2 linked regions of the Saccharomyces cerevisiae S288C genome follow. The protein of the gene in region 1 interacts with the protein of each later gene in a biochemical or structural test. Each region holds a gene or a part of one and is shown on either strand. Other genes may lie near its edges.

Evidence for each region.
Region 2: of the proteins of ULP2 (region 1) and CDC5, one has a biochemical effect on the other in vitro, tested with the Saccharomyces cerevisiae proteins (2 studies listed by BioGRID).

What each region holds. Positions count from the first base shown.
Region 1 is NC_001141.2:290,672-302,569, forward strand, and holds ULP2 (SUMO protease ULP2), read left to right. Parts: upstream 1-1,961; coding exon 1,962-5,066; downstream 5,067-11,898. Other genes in the region: cAMP-dependent protein kinase regulatory subunit BCY1, read right to left, coding at 1-998; E3 ubiquitin-protein ligase SSM4, read right to left, coding at 5,379-9,338; EMA17 (Ema17p), read right to left, coding at 10,158-10,586. UniProt on the Saccharomyces cerevisiae protein: Insertion mutation in SMT4 confers temperature and benomyl sensitivity; high copy suppressor of a temperature sensitive mutation in MIF2.
Region 2 is NC_001145.3:268,345-272,840, reverse strand, and holds CDC5 (polo kinase CDC5), read left to right. Parts: upstream 1-1,704; coding exon 1,705-3,822; downstream 3,823-4,496. Other genes in the region: MIX17 (Mix17p), read right to left, coding at 178-648; YMR001C-A (uncharacterized protein), read left to right, coding at 1,264-1,494. UniProt on the Saccharomyces cerevisiae protein: Protein kinase required for the cell cycle where it is involved in mitotic exit. A component of the fear (CDC14 early anaphase release) network which promotes CDC14 release from the nucleolus during early anaphase. Phosphorylates SCC1/MCD1 and NET1.

The sequences.
Region 1 (11,898 bases):
CCCTCGCGAATGATTGTTTCACCCGGCTGGTAGATCTTGGTATCCAGTGCATCGGCAAGTTTGGCACGGTCGTACGTAGTCAAACTCTTCAAAACTGGCATGCTCTTCAAAAGATCGTCATACATGAGTCTCTTCTTGAAAGAGCTGCCCAAAAGTATTTTTCTGAAGGTGAGCCTGTCTAGAGCCCACAACAAACAGTCGGAGGTTGCTACAACGGTGGCAGCACGAGGGCTGTTGTACATAAGAGCAAGTTCCCCGAAACTGGAGCCTGGCCCGGAAGAGTTGACCTTGTTGTCGTTGACGTAGAAGTCAACAGTACCCTTTTCGACGACATAGAAGTAGTCCCCTTGGTCACCTTGCTTGATTATCGTAGCACCTTTGGGGACGGACTTCTCCTCCAGACAATTTATGACCAGCCTTTTTGAGTCGGAATCCAGCTTGTTGAACAGAAAGTTATTACGGATCGATTTTTCCAGTCTTTGCAATTGCTGCTCGGACTTTTCCTTATAGTGATCTGGAGTCCAATCGTCAAAATTGTTTGGTTGTAAGGTCTCACCACTAACAGAAGTACGCCTTTGGGCGTTGAAGTGCATTGGGAGTGGAGGAGTTGATGTCTTTTCTCTAGTATGCTGTTGTTCTTCCTGTGCTTGCTGGTGAGTGTCCTGTTCGTGCGGGTCTAAATTAAACCCACTTTTAAACACGTTGGAGTGTGGGTCCTCGTTCACAAAGGGGGATTTGAACATAACACTCGATCTGGATCTTGATTGAGATTGAGCTGATTGAGGTCTGGAAAATGACTCCTCTGGTTCCGGAAATAGAACAATGTTCTTTGCCTTAAATTCAGGCTCCCTGGCCTTGAGGAACGCTCTCTGTTGTTCCAGCCTTTTATTGAAATAGTTGGCGGAGAACTGAAGAAAGTCGGACGGATTAGCGGCGTTGATTTCGTTCTGGAACAGTTGCAATTCGGCTTGCGATTCCTTGGGCAAAGAAGATACCATCGTTTATTCTTACTGTTGTCTTTTGAAAATAATCTGCTTGTTGTAAATGATCTTCCTATTTATGTATGCGTGAAATGCGTGTAATGGATGTGATGATAGCGATCGCTTGACTTAGTCGAGGAAAGCGTAAAGTGTCCCTTTTTCTCTTTCCCTTTTCCCTGTTTGTTCAAATTTTCTCTTTTCTACCTTCCTCTTCGTTTTGCTCCTTGCCAGCAAAACGAGGAAGGACAAGAATTTTGGAGAGCGGCGGCGCGGCGCCATAATAAATGCACTTGAGCAAATGCAATAAGTTCAGCTTATGGCTTCTGCAACAAAGAAGAGGTCGGAATCCGAGCACAGTATAATCAATATATTATCAGGCAGAACAAAAGTGGCGGGTATAACACGAAGAAAGAAGGAAGGGTGGTGATTGGGTGCTTTGTTTTTTTCCGCTCGTCGTGGTGGCATGCGCTTTTTTTTTCTTGGGTGAAGATTAGCCGCCGAAGTCGTATGCTCCTCTTTTGAGCGTTTTGAAAGATAGAAAAAAGCTGAGTAAGTAAAATCGTCGGCGGCTAATCTGAAAAGTATATAAAGTCCTTTATATTTTCCACTCGTATTCTTTTCCCTCCTCCTTTTTTTTTTTACTTTCTCACGTATGGCTTGTTTCATTTATTATCAGATCAGTAATCACGTGCCGTGTCGTTAGAAATGACATTTGGTTCTTTGCCTTCTTTGTCCTTTTTCTATCTTCCTACTAAGAGAAACTATTATACAATACAATAAGAGAACATCGTGAAACAACATAAAAGATATCACGTCATCAGAGAGAGATAAAACATCACAACCAATTACATTACAGTGTATTCGTTTCTTCTTAGAGAGAGAAATAAAGAGCGGGATAAAAGGACACTACACAGTATACCCCATACCCAGGTGCAATAATACACGTATATCTATGTTTATTGCACATCAAACCCCACATATATGTCTGCCAGAAAACGCAAGTTTAATAGTCTCAAACCGCTAGACACCTTGAACAGCTCTCGTGCCAGCTCTCCAAGGTCCTCTGCTTCTCTACCGCCCAAAAGATATAACACTTTTCGTAAGGATCCGAAAATCGTTGATCATCTAAACAATGCTTCTACAAAGGATTTCTTACCAGTTTTGAGTATGAACAGCGAGAGTAAGAGGCAGATCGAATTGTCGGATAATGATGTTGATAATAATGATGAAGGTGAAGGCGTCAACAGTGGCTGTTCAGATCAAGATTTTGAACCTTTGCAAAGCTCTCCTTTGAAAAGACACTCATCACTCAAAAGCACTTCCAATGGTCTTTTGTTCCAAATGTCTAATAATCTGGGGAATGGTTCACCGGAACCGGCAGTAGCGAGCACTTCTCCAAATGGCTCAATTATTTCCACTAAACTAAATTTGAACGGCCAATTTTCTTGCGTTGATTCGAAAACATTGCGAATTTATCGGCATAAAGCACCATGCATAATGACTTTTGTCTCAGATCATAATCATCCGAAATTTTCATTGTATTTTCAACAATCGGTGATCTACAATTCACAAGTTAATCTGCTTGATGATGTTGAATTGATAATTTTAGATAAGAAGAACTCTTTTATGGCTATAATTTTAAAAGATCTGAAAAAGGTCAAGATGATACTAGACGTGAATAACTCTTCAATCAACATTAACACGAACATCTTGATATGGTCCACTGCAAGCTCCGCTTCAAATAAAAAAATAAAGTCTATTAAAAGATTCCTGTTGATGTCATATTCTTCGTCGATAAAAGTCGAAATTTTAGATCATAAAGAGCAGATTTTGGAAAGACTAAAACATCTGATTCATCCTATTTCTTCGTCATCACCTTCATTGAACATGGAAAGGGCAATAAACTCCACTAAAAATGCATTCGACTCTTTAAGACTTAAAAAAACTAAACTTTCTACTAATGATGATGAAAGTCCGCAAATTCATACTCATTTCTTATCAAACAAACCTCATGGTTTGCAATCCTTAACAAAAAGGACTCGTATTGCCAGCCTTGGGAAAAAAGAGCATTCAATATCTGTTCCAAAATCGAATATTTCACCCTCAGATTTCTACAACACTAACGGGACAGAAACTTTACAATCCCACGCAGTTTCACAACTAAGACGTTCAAATAGATTTAAAGATGTTTCGGATCCAGCAAACTCAAATTCAAATTCAGAATTTGATGATGCAACTACGGAATTTGAAACACCAGAACTGTTTAAACCTAGCCTCTGTTACAAATTCAACGATGGTTCAAGCTATACTATAACAAATCAAGATTTCAAGTGTCTTTTCAATAAGGATTGGGTTAATGATAGCATTTTGGATTTTTTTACAAAATTTTACATTGAATCATCTATTGAAAAGTCAATTATCAAAAGAGAGCAAGTTCACTTAATGTCCTCTTTTTTTTACACGAAACTAATTAGTAATCCAGCAGATTATTATTCTAATGTAAAAAAGTGGGTTAACAATACTGATTTGTTTTCTAAAAAGTACGTTGTTATACCAATTAACATAAGTTATCATTGGTTTAGTTGCATTATAACAAACTTGGATGCGATCTTGGATTTTCATCAAAACAAAGATAAAAACGATGCCATCAACTCCGATGAGATTTCTATAAATAATCCTCTGGTTAATATTTTGACTTTCGACTCGTTGAGGCAAACTCATTCAAGAGAAATTGATCCAATAAAAGAATTTCTCATATCCTATGCACTTGATAAATATTCAATTCAACTGGATAAAACACAAATCAAAATGAAAACGTGTCCAGTTCCACAACAACCTAATATGAGCGATTGTGGTGTTCATGTTATTTTGAATATTAGAAAATTTTTTGAAAATCCGGTGGAAACAATTGATGTATGGAAGAATTCTAAGATTAAAAGTAAGCACTTCACCGCAAAAATGATTAATAAATATTTTGATAAAAATGAAAGAAATAGTGCGAGAAAGAATTTAAGGCATACTCTAAAACTCTTACAACTCAATTACATCAGCTATCTGAAAAAAGAAAATTTATATGAAGAAGTTATGCAAATGGAGGAGAAAAAAAGCACCAATATCAACAATAATGAAAATTACGACGATGACGATGAAGAAATTCAAATCATTGAAAATATAGATCAAAGCAGTAAAGATAATAACGCGCAGTTAACCTCGGAACCTCCCTGCTCACGATCATCCAGTATTTCAACAACAGAAAGAGAGCCGACAGAGTTGCATAATTCCGTAGTACGACAGCCCACCGGTGAAATAATAACTGATAATGAAGATCCCGTTCGCGCTGCTTCTCCAGAAACAGCATCCGTTTCTCCTCCCATACGTCACAATATTTTAAAGAGTTCATCTCCTTTCATATCAGAAAGTGCGAATGAAACTGAACAAGAAGAATTTACGTCACCATACTTTGGAAGGCCGTCTTTAAAGACGAGGGCTAAGCAGTTTGAAGGCGTTTCGTCACCAATAAAAAACGATCAAGCCCTGTCATCCACCCATGATATTATGATGCCGTCGCCTAAACCTAAAAGGATTTACCCAAGCAAAAAAATCCCACAACTTTCCTCGCATGTTCAATCTCTATCGACTGATTCTATGGAACGCCAATCTAGTCCCAATAATACCAACATTGTAATTTCAGATACAGAACAAGATTCGAGGTTAGGAGTGAATTCTGAAAGTAAAAATACTAGTGGTATTGTTAACAGGGATGACTCGGACGTCAATTTAATTGGTAGTTCACTACCTAATGTAGCGGAAAAAAATCATGACAACACTCAGGAAAGTAATGGTAATAATGACAGTCTTGGTAAAATACTTCAAAATGTTGACAAAGAACTGAACGAAAAGTTGGTTGATATTGATGATGTGGCATTTAGTAGTCCAACTAGGGGTATTCCAAGAACCAGCGCGACAAGCAAGGGATCAAATGCACAACTTCTCTCTAATTATGGAGATGAAAATAACCAGTCTCAAGATTCTGTTTGGGATGAGGGCAGAGATAATCCTATACTCTTGGAAGATGAAGACCCTTGAAAGCACTCGCACGCATAGTTTTATATTTTTTATTCTTTTCCTCTTTATTTTTATTTTTTTAACATTCTCGCATAATAATAGTAACAGCAATAAAATAACTAGTAATATACATACTCACATAAATAGGCATATTTTTTATTTTGTTCTTTCGTATTCAGAATGGTAAATTTTTCTAATGAAATGTTTTACAAAAATTTTTTTTCTATAATTCTAACAATAAGAAATAAAACAGTGGAAAAACATATAACTTAATGTAGATATATATATGTAAATATGCTAGCATTCATTTTAAATGTAAGGAAGAAAACGCCTTTAACTTTCATCTGGTAAATTTTCTAAAGCTCTACCCTTAGTGTAAACCTCGTCTTTTACATTCTGTACAGTACTTTTGAACCATTGAATGAACAGCACAGTTGCTTGGAAAAAGAACGTAAATGACTCTAATGCTATCAGTAGTCCGAAATAAATATCTTGCATCCTTGTCCATGTTGGGAATGATTCGTTAAGCGATAAAGTGAAACTCCTGGATCCATGGCTAATATCGATAATCTGCTTTGTAGAAACATCACGTAAAAATACTAAGGATAAAATAATAATCGGCAAGACGTAAATTACCATGTGCAGGAAACCTTGTTTAAACAGTTCCAAAGCCATTGTTTTCAAGAAGTTCAATTTACTAGTATTTCTGTTTCTGAAAAATAGTTTCAATGACTTATATCCGGTTCCGAAATTGACCATTGACGAAATGATCCAAACGACGAATAACAAACTCTCGTCATATTTAAACCATTTGGAATTACCAATAGTGTATGAAGAATTGCCAAACACTCTGATGGTGAGATAATTGTAACAGGCTAGTATACCATCGGTTAAGACGACCCACGAAACCATAGTTCTAATAACCGCAATCATGATAGCTATAAACACCATCAGGTTATACTTCACCAACATACTATCAAATATACTGTTAAAGATGGCCATGAAAATTCCTTGACCCTCTTCCACATTATTGATATTATTAACAGGGGCATTGTTGATATCTCTCTCTGGTATATCGTGTTCCACTTCCTCTACTTCGTTTTCGTCAACGGCATGTTCATCGAGAGTGTTTTGGCCTTCTGTAAAATGAAGAATATCCTTAGCAATCTTGGATAAACAAACAGATCCGACACAGACATAATAAATGTTCAAATAGGAGTAGCTAATGTCAGAGAGTTCCTTCCATGCAACATAGACCTTATTTCTTTCACCTAACAATAGCTTTACGACTGGAAGAAAGCCGAAACTACAAACAAAGTTTATTAAAGCTTGACTAATAAATGTAACACCAAGCATTAAAATGGAAGCAAATAACCAAACCAGGCCAAGCAATGTCATATAGCGTAAACGGAAATCTGGAGGGACGTAAACGATATAATATTGATCATATTCCGTGTTTTGTTCGTCTAAATAACCAAATTCACCAGCAGCACGTTTGTTTCTCTCTTTAATTCTTTCCAAATCTAATGGTTTCAACAGCTTATCATCCTTTGTAACGGGGACAAACATTGTTTGTACATAATTTCTGGATACTATATCAGAAGAAGGAACACGCATTAAAACGCCATCGGGGACAAAATAAGCATGAACGTCACGAACTTGCCCAAACAATTCTTCTGCTTGTTCTAGAGTCTTTGGTTTAGTGAAAAGTTCTTGGTTTGACCATTCTGCATTCTTGGCAGCAATGTACTTGTAAAACAAATTGCGGTAAACAATATGGCCTCTCTCTGTTGGGGTATCTTTACCTAAGATAAAGGATGATAAACGTAATTTTCTTGAACATAACTTAAAAATTGTTTTCCAATACCTTTCCAATAAGGGTTTAACGTAAGAGCTAGACTCCAGGATCCTCTTCGTAAAATATAAAGTTAGCAAAATTGTATTGAACTTCCATGAAATAATTGATGTTGGTTTATAAGCTTCAGGAACGGATAATAAGTTCGATTTGAGCATGAATGGGAAAAAAATTCTAGTATGGAAGCCAAAACCTAAGACAATAAAAATCGCATAAATAAACATGGATAAGCAAAGCCTTGATAATTGAATACTCATCGGATGAATTAAACTATCATGCAAGATCTTAATATTAGGATCTTCTGGAGATCTGATAAAGAATAGAACACCTGGTCTAATGATATTTTTCCTAATCATTCCGATATATTTGGCAAACCAATACATGTAGAGAGTACCAATCGTCCAGTATACGAAAAGGGAAAATGGAGGCCATATTGCGCATATTGAAGGAACCCAAAGCATCCGACTATTGGATGCCAGGATTGGGCAAAATAATGAGAAATCTAGCATTACACCAGCTAGAATGGGGAATCCAGCCAATTCGATGAAAAATAAAGTGAACACCTTGAAAGTGCATTTGAGTGCAAATAAAATCTGGAAAATCAGCCTTCTAGTAGGGTTGCTCATTCCGTTCTCACGGCCATAACCCCTCGAGACAAGATTGGATGAAGCACAAACGATACTGACTGAGGTTAGATACGTCGTTAAAGCAGGTAAAGCTCTGATGAAAATTGAGTGCTTCATGGTGTTTTCAGTGTAGCCGTTGTAAAGATAAATGATGTCATGAATTAAGTGGTCTGAAATCCAACTCATCGCGACATCTACTTTAGGGACCAGTTTCGTCAGCCCATTGTAAGCTATATGAGCGCCAGACAAGTAGTAAAGATGGCACAACCCACGCAAAATAACCTTAAATATACCAAAATAAATTTTCAACAAACCGAACCCAATAAAAGTTGGAAACAAATAGGAAATTGCCAGGTATATTGCGGTGAAAACTACGGCAATTATGAAATAAGCAATGACATTCAACAATTTCAATTTGAGATTTATCACTAGAGGGCCTTGTCCTTGATCGTCTGGGTTAGCCTGTGCTGGTGGCACACCAACAGCTGCGCCAAAGTCTTGTTCGTCTTGATCGACATTTCCAGCTCTGTTTTGGGCAGGTGGTGGGATGAAAACCGGAGCGTTGGGCCTGTTTATTGCGTTCTGTTGAGCAGCGATTAGGTCATCAAATTCATTTTGCGCACGACGATTTGCCCACATGTCAATCGGATTGGGCTCTATATGATCACGGTAATCTGCCTCTTCTTCTGGTTGCTGCTGTTGCTGTTGCCCCTCTGCTTCTTCATCTTCTTCGTTGTCACTTGAAGACCCCGGTAAAATTCGTGACGAATCATCACCTGATGGTAAACTATTGTCAGAGTCGTTGTTCTCGTGCTCTTCCGTAGCCTCATCATGATCTAATTCGTCTACGTGGCGAAGGTTTTCAAAATTCCGATGGTCATTAGGATCCTGAGGTGGAACGTTATCGTTTCTGGGATTAATAACATTATTATTATTATCTGCTGCTGCGGCTGGCATGTTCAGTCTATCATGACCTTGCTCTTGACGATTTTCGTCATGAGCTCTCATTTCCCTCGCTAAATATTCAACCATTCTATCATCCATCATGGGGAATCTTTCCTTCAAACGTGATTTCAAGTCCTTGGGAGATAATCTTGGACCTATCTTGTGGAAAACCATTTTACTGAAAACATCCTCTCTTACTATCATATCGTATTGAAAGTACAATGCTATATGTAGTATCACTATCATAATAAATTGTAAAGACGTAAACGAATGGTTTTGTAAAAGTTGGTAAAAAATTGCTCTCGTGGTTAATTCTGGAGTTGCTGACTGATCATAACCATAAATCAAACTCTTTAGGAAATCACCAGGATAAGGGGATGATCCATCTAGCATCATGGTGTATAATTTTCCAAACATGTTCCATACCAAAGGAACACCGATAATATATAGTACAGCGGCCAAACCAATCGTTAAAGCCAAACGAGCTTTTTCGAAAAATGTCAAGATGCTCTTGGATAGTAGTAAAGAAAAAGGTATCTTTTCGGGCATGTTTTCCGCATATATCGTTTTGAATTGAATGGGATAGTGACAGATGTCACATTTAACATCCGCGCCTGGTTTTGAAATGTCTATATTTTTTGAAGCTACCCATTCCAACAGACAGGATTCATGCATGTATTTAATTGAGCCCCTGCATTTACAAGGATGGAAAAGAGGATTGTCCTCAGTAGCTTCTCCACGACAAATACGGCAGGTGGCGCCGGATGGCGCATCATCATTGAAAGTGGCGGTATCTGTTTCCTCGTTTGCCACCTTATGCAGTTCATCTCTTAACCTGGAGACATTAACGTCAGAATCAACATCCATGACTTTCACACTTCTAGTCTCTTTGATTCAATTAGTGGTACTCTTGGCTAAAAAAACAGTTTTTGAAATCAGTAACAAAGAACTATTCTTAACGTAATCTTATGGCTTCATAGATCGGTCATAATCATCTTTTCAATGTCCTCAATCGATGCGTTTTCAACCAGTTTTCCGTCTCTAATGATTTAATTTTTCTATTGAATTGAAAATGGTAAAAAGATAGCCCTGTAGGGGGCTCGAACCCCTAACCTTATGATTAAGAGTCATACGCGCTACCGATTGCGCCAACAAGGCTATTTCGTTGGAAAAACTACTTATTTTAGGAAGTAATAGCACATTTAAGATGCTTGTTGGAATGAAACTTTAAAATATCATCTGTTTAGTACTATTCATGTTACTAATTAAGATATGGGTGAATTTTGAGATAATTGTTGGGGGTTCCATTGTTGATAAAGGCTTATAATATTATGTATACGGAATATACTAGAAGTTCTCCTCGAGGATCTAGGAATCCTCATAATGGAATCTATATTTCTATATACTAATATTACGATTATTCCTCATTCCGTTTTATATGTTTCATTCTCCTATTACATTATCAATTTTTGTATTTCAGCTTCCTCTAACCTCGATGACAGCTTCTCATAATTTACGCCATCCTCTTACACCGCATGTGATGCTATTACTACTAAATAGATAACATTAGAATTTCATTCCAACAGCTTTAGTCTGTTTTAATAAACGCAACAGCACCATAATGTTATTAATTTTAATAAAGCCAAATTATGGCCTGCTGATTTCTTTTCATTGGTAAAAGTTCTATCACCCGTTCCCCATTAGTATGATAACCGATAAATAAACTCTATTACCTGGTTTCTTCGTTCCAGGAACGTTTATACCCTGACTACACATTTCTTTTGAAAAATAGGCCAATTGAACAATTAAGTTAGAAGCGGTTAGAAAAAGGTATAATAGGAAAAAATGCATCCAATTTTTACAGTTGAACCACTTGGGGGATTTTATTCTCGTATTGTAGCGGGAGCATTTTATCTTCGTACATCTTGGAAGCTGTAGATTAATCTTATTCCTATATGCTCCTTCAATCCACACAGCAAACCCCCAAATGGAAACGATCACTGAGTATGTTATAAACCAGCTTACGCTTATACTATTATCAAAATTCAAAAGATTGAACGGGGAAAATGGTAGAAATGAATATTGAAGCATTTTCGCAATGAAAATTAACCGCATTGTTTTTATAGTAATTCTGATGGCTAACGGCGGTAATACAGCATCCTTACGAAGAGCGGGAATAGTTCATTTGCCCTCTTTGATGGTTTGCATAACTGCGTTGTTGATTGTCTTAGGAATGGAAATATTTAACAAATATACCTATAATGAAAAAAGGGTCCTTCTTTTTAATTATTATTGGCAGCGAAAAAGTTGTCCCAGCTTCTACTTTTTTTCCCGTTAAAAAAGGAAGCGGCGGAAGCTGATCTACTCTCTAATAATAGACTACTCACTCGCATCTTGGTAACGAGTCCCTTTAAGATCTTGGTACATAAAGTTTGCTGCAGCAAAAAGGGCTTATTTGCGCATTCATGATATTAAACAACACCCTGTTTAGCGTGTTAATGATCCTTGTTTTATGCCAGTATATTCTGTATACCTTATAATAGAGTCAACAGTTAAATCCTAATCATTACCTCAGGACTTACCTATTTCTGAATATCATGGTCCACCATTCTACCTCAGTGAATTGATTGAACCGCACCATTGGAATTGTCATGGTGAGCCAGCGTGCTACAACTTCATGATTTTACGAGCTGAAAAAACACGCCCTTAGGCATAAAAACTCAATGGAAATCTGTAAAACAAAATAAATTTCGCTTTTTAACTTGGCCTAATGGGAATACTTTAACAATTGAACCTGTCACTAAATCAGAGGAAGTACATGCCTAATTACTCAAAGCTGTATTTAACTAATTTACCTATACTATCGCCAGGCATTCAAGGATGAAGACATGCGTCAATGCAAATAGTGACGGCTGCTGCATTAAAGAGGTGCTGCGTGGTGTAGAAAAGGCAATAACATGGACGATGCAAGGTTATTCAGACGCGTTGTTTGTATGCCATTTCCAATGATAATGTTGGTTGCGTTATATAGAAATGTGTTAGGAAGAGATTCTACAGTTGATTGCAGCTTTGACGTTATACTTACACCTTGGATAATGGCCAGTATGTTTTCCAAACGTATGGTGAATTGGTCTAATCCACGTCAAGCTGTTTTAAAAGTATGCAGCGCAGCCGTGACCTCCCGGATAGTTGCCAATTGGTTGTTTACGATGAACATATTATATACCAGTGGTGAAAAGGGTTTTTACTCGCTAGCAACAGCTGTGGTAATTAAAACGGTCACTGATGGGTTTACGGTGATACGGGTTTTCTCTATTCACCTGAACGAGTCAGTATATAGCAAGCCATTACCATAACATTGGGTAACGTCGCACGCAACACAGCTGCGGGTGTGTGTGGTGATTGGTTAGTCAATTGGTCATTTGGG
Region 2 (4,496 bases), on another chromosome or scaffold:
CCATATATATAAGACATTTAGTCCTTATTCCTTTCATTTTTTCTTGTTCTCACGTGGAGTATGCGATTCTGTGAAAAACCATCAAAAAAAAATAAGTCAAATGACATGGTTAAAACAAGAACATTACCGAAATGTATGATTTTAGTGAATATTTTCTAAATTTTTGAGCTTTTAAACTTAGTATTGACGTGCAGCTTCCTGGCAGGCTTTTAGTTGCTGCAAGTAATAATCACATATCTGGAAGTTGCCGTTGTTTTCATCCAAACAACGTGTAAAGTTTCTCGCGTCTATTTCACAAGTTCTTCCCAACTGCTGGTCCGTTTGGGTTTGGCCGGAGGTGTTGGCCATATTTTGCTGTTGTTGCTCAACAGGAGCGGAATCAGACCCGGATCCGGAAAACATACCGGTAATACCTGCACCTAGGGTGTGTCCAATGGTGCTACCAACGGCAACACCTGCAGCAGTGGAGGCCATCTGCGCAAACATACCTGGCTGTCTCGTTTGGGCACCTGCAGCAGGAGGGTGTGAATAGGCATTTGGTTGTTGTTGTTGTTGTGGATGAACTGGAGCCGCCATGGTAGAAGCGGACCTTGTCTGAGTAGGTCTCGATCTCGATATAGGTCTTGATGATCCTCTTGAACGTGCCATATTTTAGAATTTTGTTGCTGTTGTTGCTTTTCTTGTTCTGTTCTTTGTTCGAAATATTAATCCTTTTTCTTAAAGGTTATAAACTGTACGAGTGATAGGCTTATATAGGTCGCGGAGATTGCGGTGGAGTGAAAAAGCGCTTTTCTTTTATACCTTTGTTCAAGGTGGCGTTTGCCGTATAAAAGCACACATGACATAACCGAACCTCGGAAAATGAAGTTGCACTGTTATTGCCTTCCAGATGTGTAGAATCATCACCATCTTCTGTGATAAATGAAGAGGGAATCGTACGAGGACGCCAGCATATTTTTACATCAAAATTTATGTTATTGTTGAAGGAACATTGAAAAGATAGGGCGGGCAAAATCTGCGATCAAGCCTATCCTCTTTCATCTCAGCTGTTCTAGATGCGTTACCCGGTGGTAACTTCACTGCATATTATTACTTTATATACCTTATTCTATATGTTGCCCGGGTAGGGCATTATGTAGCATCACCCGGAAGAACTTTTGGACTTTTCTCTGTCAAAAGATATTACCTAAAAGGGTCAAAACAAAACAAACCCAATAAAGAAAATCCAAAATATAGAACGAATAAATATCTCGAGGACCTGGGATGATCTTTGAATGTACATCCTTTGAAACAAGGCATATCTTGAACAGTTACTCTTGTGCTACTCAACTTTCGTACAATACATATAGAATCACTGAGAAAGTAAATCCAATTCAAGCGGCAGTTTCAAAGAACAATAAGCCTTTTGTGTCAAATTCTGATTCTGCTTTTTTTCCTATTTTTTCATCCTTCAATTTTGTGGCATATACTACATTAACTTTCAAGAAAACTTAAAAAAGAAAAGACAAAAAAGCTAAACTGCATAGTCAAGTTTGTATAATTGAGCTGAGTATTATTTTTTGTACACAAAAACATTGGCTTTCTTATATCTTCTCTATATATACTCTCTTTCATTCATCGATAAACGTTACATTTGTTATTCATAGAGAATAAAAATCACAGCCGTGGAGAAGAAAGAACAGAGTAAGATCAAGTCGAATAAAGATGTCGTTGGGTCCTCTTAAAGCTATCAATGATAAGCAATTGAATACCCGTTCCAAGTTAGTTCACACCCCAATAAAGGGAAATACCGCAGACCTCGTAGGAAAAGAAAATCACTTTAAACAAACAAAGAGACTAGATCCGAATAATGATCATCACCACCAGCCAGCTCAAAAAAAGAAAAGGGAAAAGTTATCAGCTTTGTGTAAAACACCACCTTCATTAATCAAAACAAGAGGAAAAGACTATCACCGAGGTCATTTTTTAGGTGAAGGTGGATTTGCTCGCTGTTTCCAAATTAAGGACGATTCAGGCGAAATTTTTGCTGCCAAAACAGTTGCTAAAGCCTCAATTAAATCAGAGAAGACAAGAAAAAAGTTGTTGTCGGAGATTCAAATTCATAAAAGTATGTCCCATCCAAATATCGTTCAGTTTATTGATTGTTTTGAGGATGATAGCAATGTCTATATCTTATTGGAGATATGCCCCAACGGTTCATTAATGGAATTACTAAAAAGAAGAAAAGTTTTAACAGAACCAGAAGTTAGATTTTTCACCACTCAAATATGTGGTGCAATTAAGTATATGCATTCAAGAAGAGTTATACATAGAGATTTAAAACTTGGTAACATCTTCTTCGATTCAAACTATAACTTAAAGATTGGTGACTTCGGTCTGGCAGCTGTGTTGGCGAATGAAAGTGAACGTAAATACACCATATGCGGAACACCTAATTACATCGCACCTGAAGTGTTGATGGGTAAGCATTCTGGACATTCATTTGAAGTAGATATTTGGTCATTAGGTGTTATGCTTTATGCTTTGTTGATTGGTAAGCCACCCTTCCAAGCAAGAGATGTAAACACTATTTATGAAAGAATCAAATGTCGTGATTTTTCGTTTCCAAGAGATAAACCAATCTCAGATGAAGGTAAGATTTTAATAAGAGACATTCTATCCTTAGATCCAATAGAAAGGCCCTCTTTGACTGAAATTATGGATTATGTATGGTTTAGGGGAACTTTCCCACCATCTATTCCTTCGACGGTCATGTCAGAAGCACCAAATTTTGAGGATATTCCTGAAGAGCAGTCACTGGTTAACTTCAAAGATTGCATGGAAAAATCTCTACTATTAGAAAGCATGAGCAGCGATAAAATTCAGCGTCAAAAGAGGGATTATATTTCTTCAATTAAATCTAGTATCGATAAACTAGAAGAGTACCACCAAAACAGACCATTTTTACCACATTCTTTATCCCCTGGCGGGACGAAACAGAAATATAAGGAGGTTGTTGATATAGAGGCACAAAGAAGATTAAACGATTTGGCTCGTGAAGCAAGGATACGTAGAGCACAACAGGCCGTTTTGAGAAAAGAATTAATAGCTACATCGACCAATGTCATTAAATCAGAAATCTCCTTGAGAATATTAGCCAGTGAGTGTCATCTTACTTTGAATGGCATTGTAGAAGCAGAAGCTCAGTATAAAATGGGAGGTCTTCCGAAATCAAGATTGCCTAAAATTAAACACCCAATGATAGTTACCAAGTGGGTCGACTACTCCAACAAACACGGATTCTCCTATCAGTTATCAACAGAGGATATTGGTGTCTTATTTAATAATGGCACCACAGTTCTCCGATTGGCAGATGCAGAAGAGTTTTGGTATATTAGTTATGACGATCGGGAAGGTTGGGTAGCAAGTCATTATTTATTGAGCGAAAAACCACGAGAGCTAAGTAGACATTTAGAAGTAGTTGATTTTTTTGCCAAGTACATGAAGGCAAATTTGAGCCGAGTATCTACGTTTGGCAGAGAAGAATATCATAAAGATGATGTATTTTTGAGAAGATACACAAGGTATAAACCATTTGTTATGTTTGAACTAAGTGATGGTACTTTCCAGTTCAATTTCAAAGATCATCATAAAATGGCAATATCCGACGGAGGTAAATTGGTGACCTACATTTCTCCCTCCCATGAAAGCACCACATATCCCTTAGTTGAAGTACTAAAATATGGCGAGATCCCAGGATATCCAGAAAGTAACTTTAGAGAGAAACTAACTTTGATAAAGGAAGGTTTGAAGCAGAAGTCCACAATTGTTACCGTAGATTAAACCAATATTAAAGTAGAAAGAAATACGAATACGAAATTACCAGTCCATTGATTGGGCCCCATTAATAACTAATACTAAATAAAATAAATGGTCTTGCCCTTAACGAAGATAATATATAATATTTACCCCTAGCATTAATACCCTTTTTCTAAAGGTACGAAATGAACAAACATCTTTCATGTTAGTTCTTCCTTTTCAATAGTTCTCATATAGCGTTTTTTTTCGCCTGAGCGGTTCTAGAGCTATATCTATTCAAAATTGCCATGCTTTTGTATTCATATTGTATGTATGGGATGATAACCTGTCGCTTCCTGAGATTTTCTCAAAAATATTGTTTTGAACCTAGATTTCTTTTTAATTATTCTTACAGGTGCCCATTGGAAGAGTGACAACATTAATTTTGAAAGCTATTCACTTGGTACATCCGCGGTTTACCAATTTTTAAGTTTTATCAAAAGCTGGCTTACTTGACATGTATCTACAAACTTAAGAATACTATTATGGGCAGTTATTTGCTAATTCTTTGTTACCTAGTTAAAATCCAAAAAATCCTGATTTATATTCATTTTATTACTGTATTCCTTTTTTCAAGGCGGGAGAAACTTATACCGCCATAGTAAAATAAATAGTGACTAAGGTAGCCAGAACTTCTCATCAACAAATTGCGAAATTAA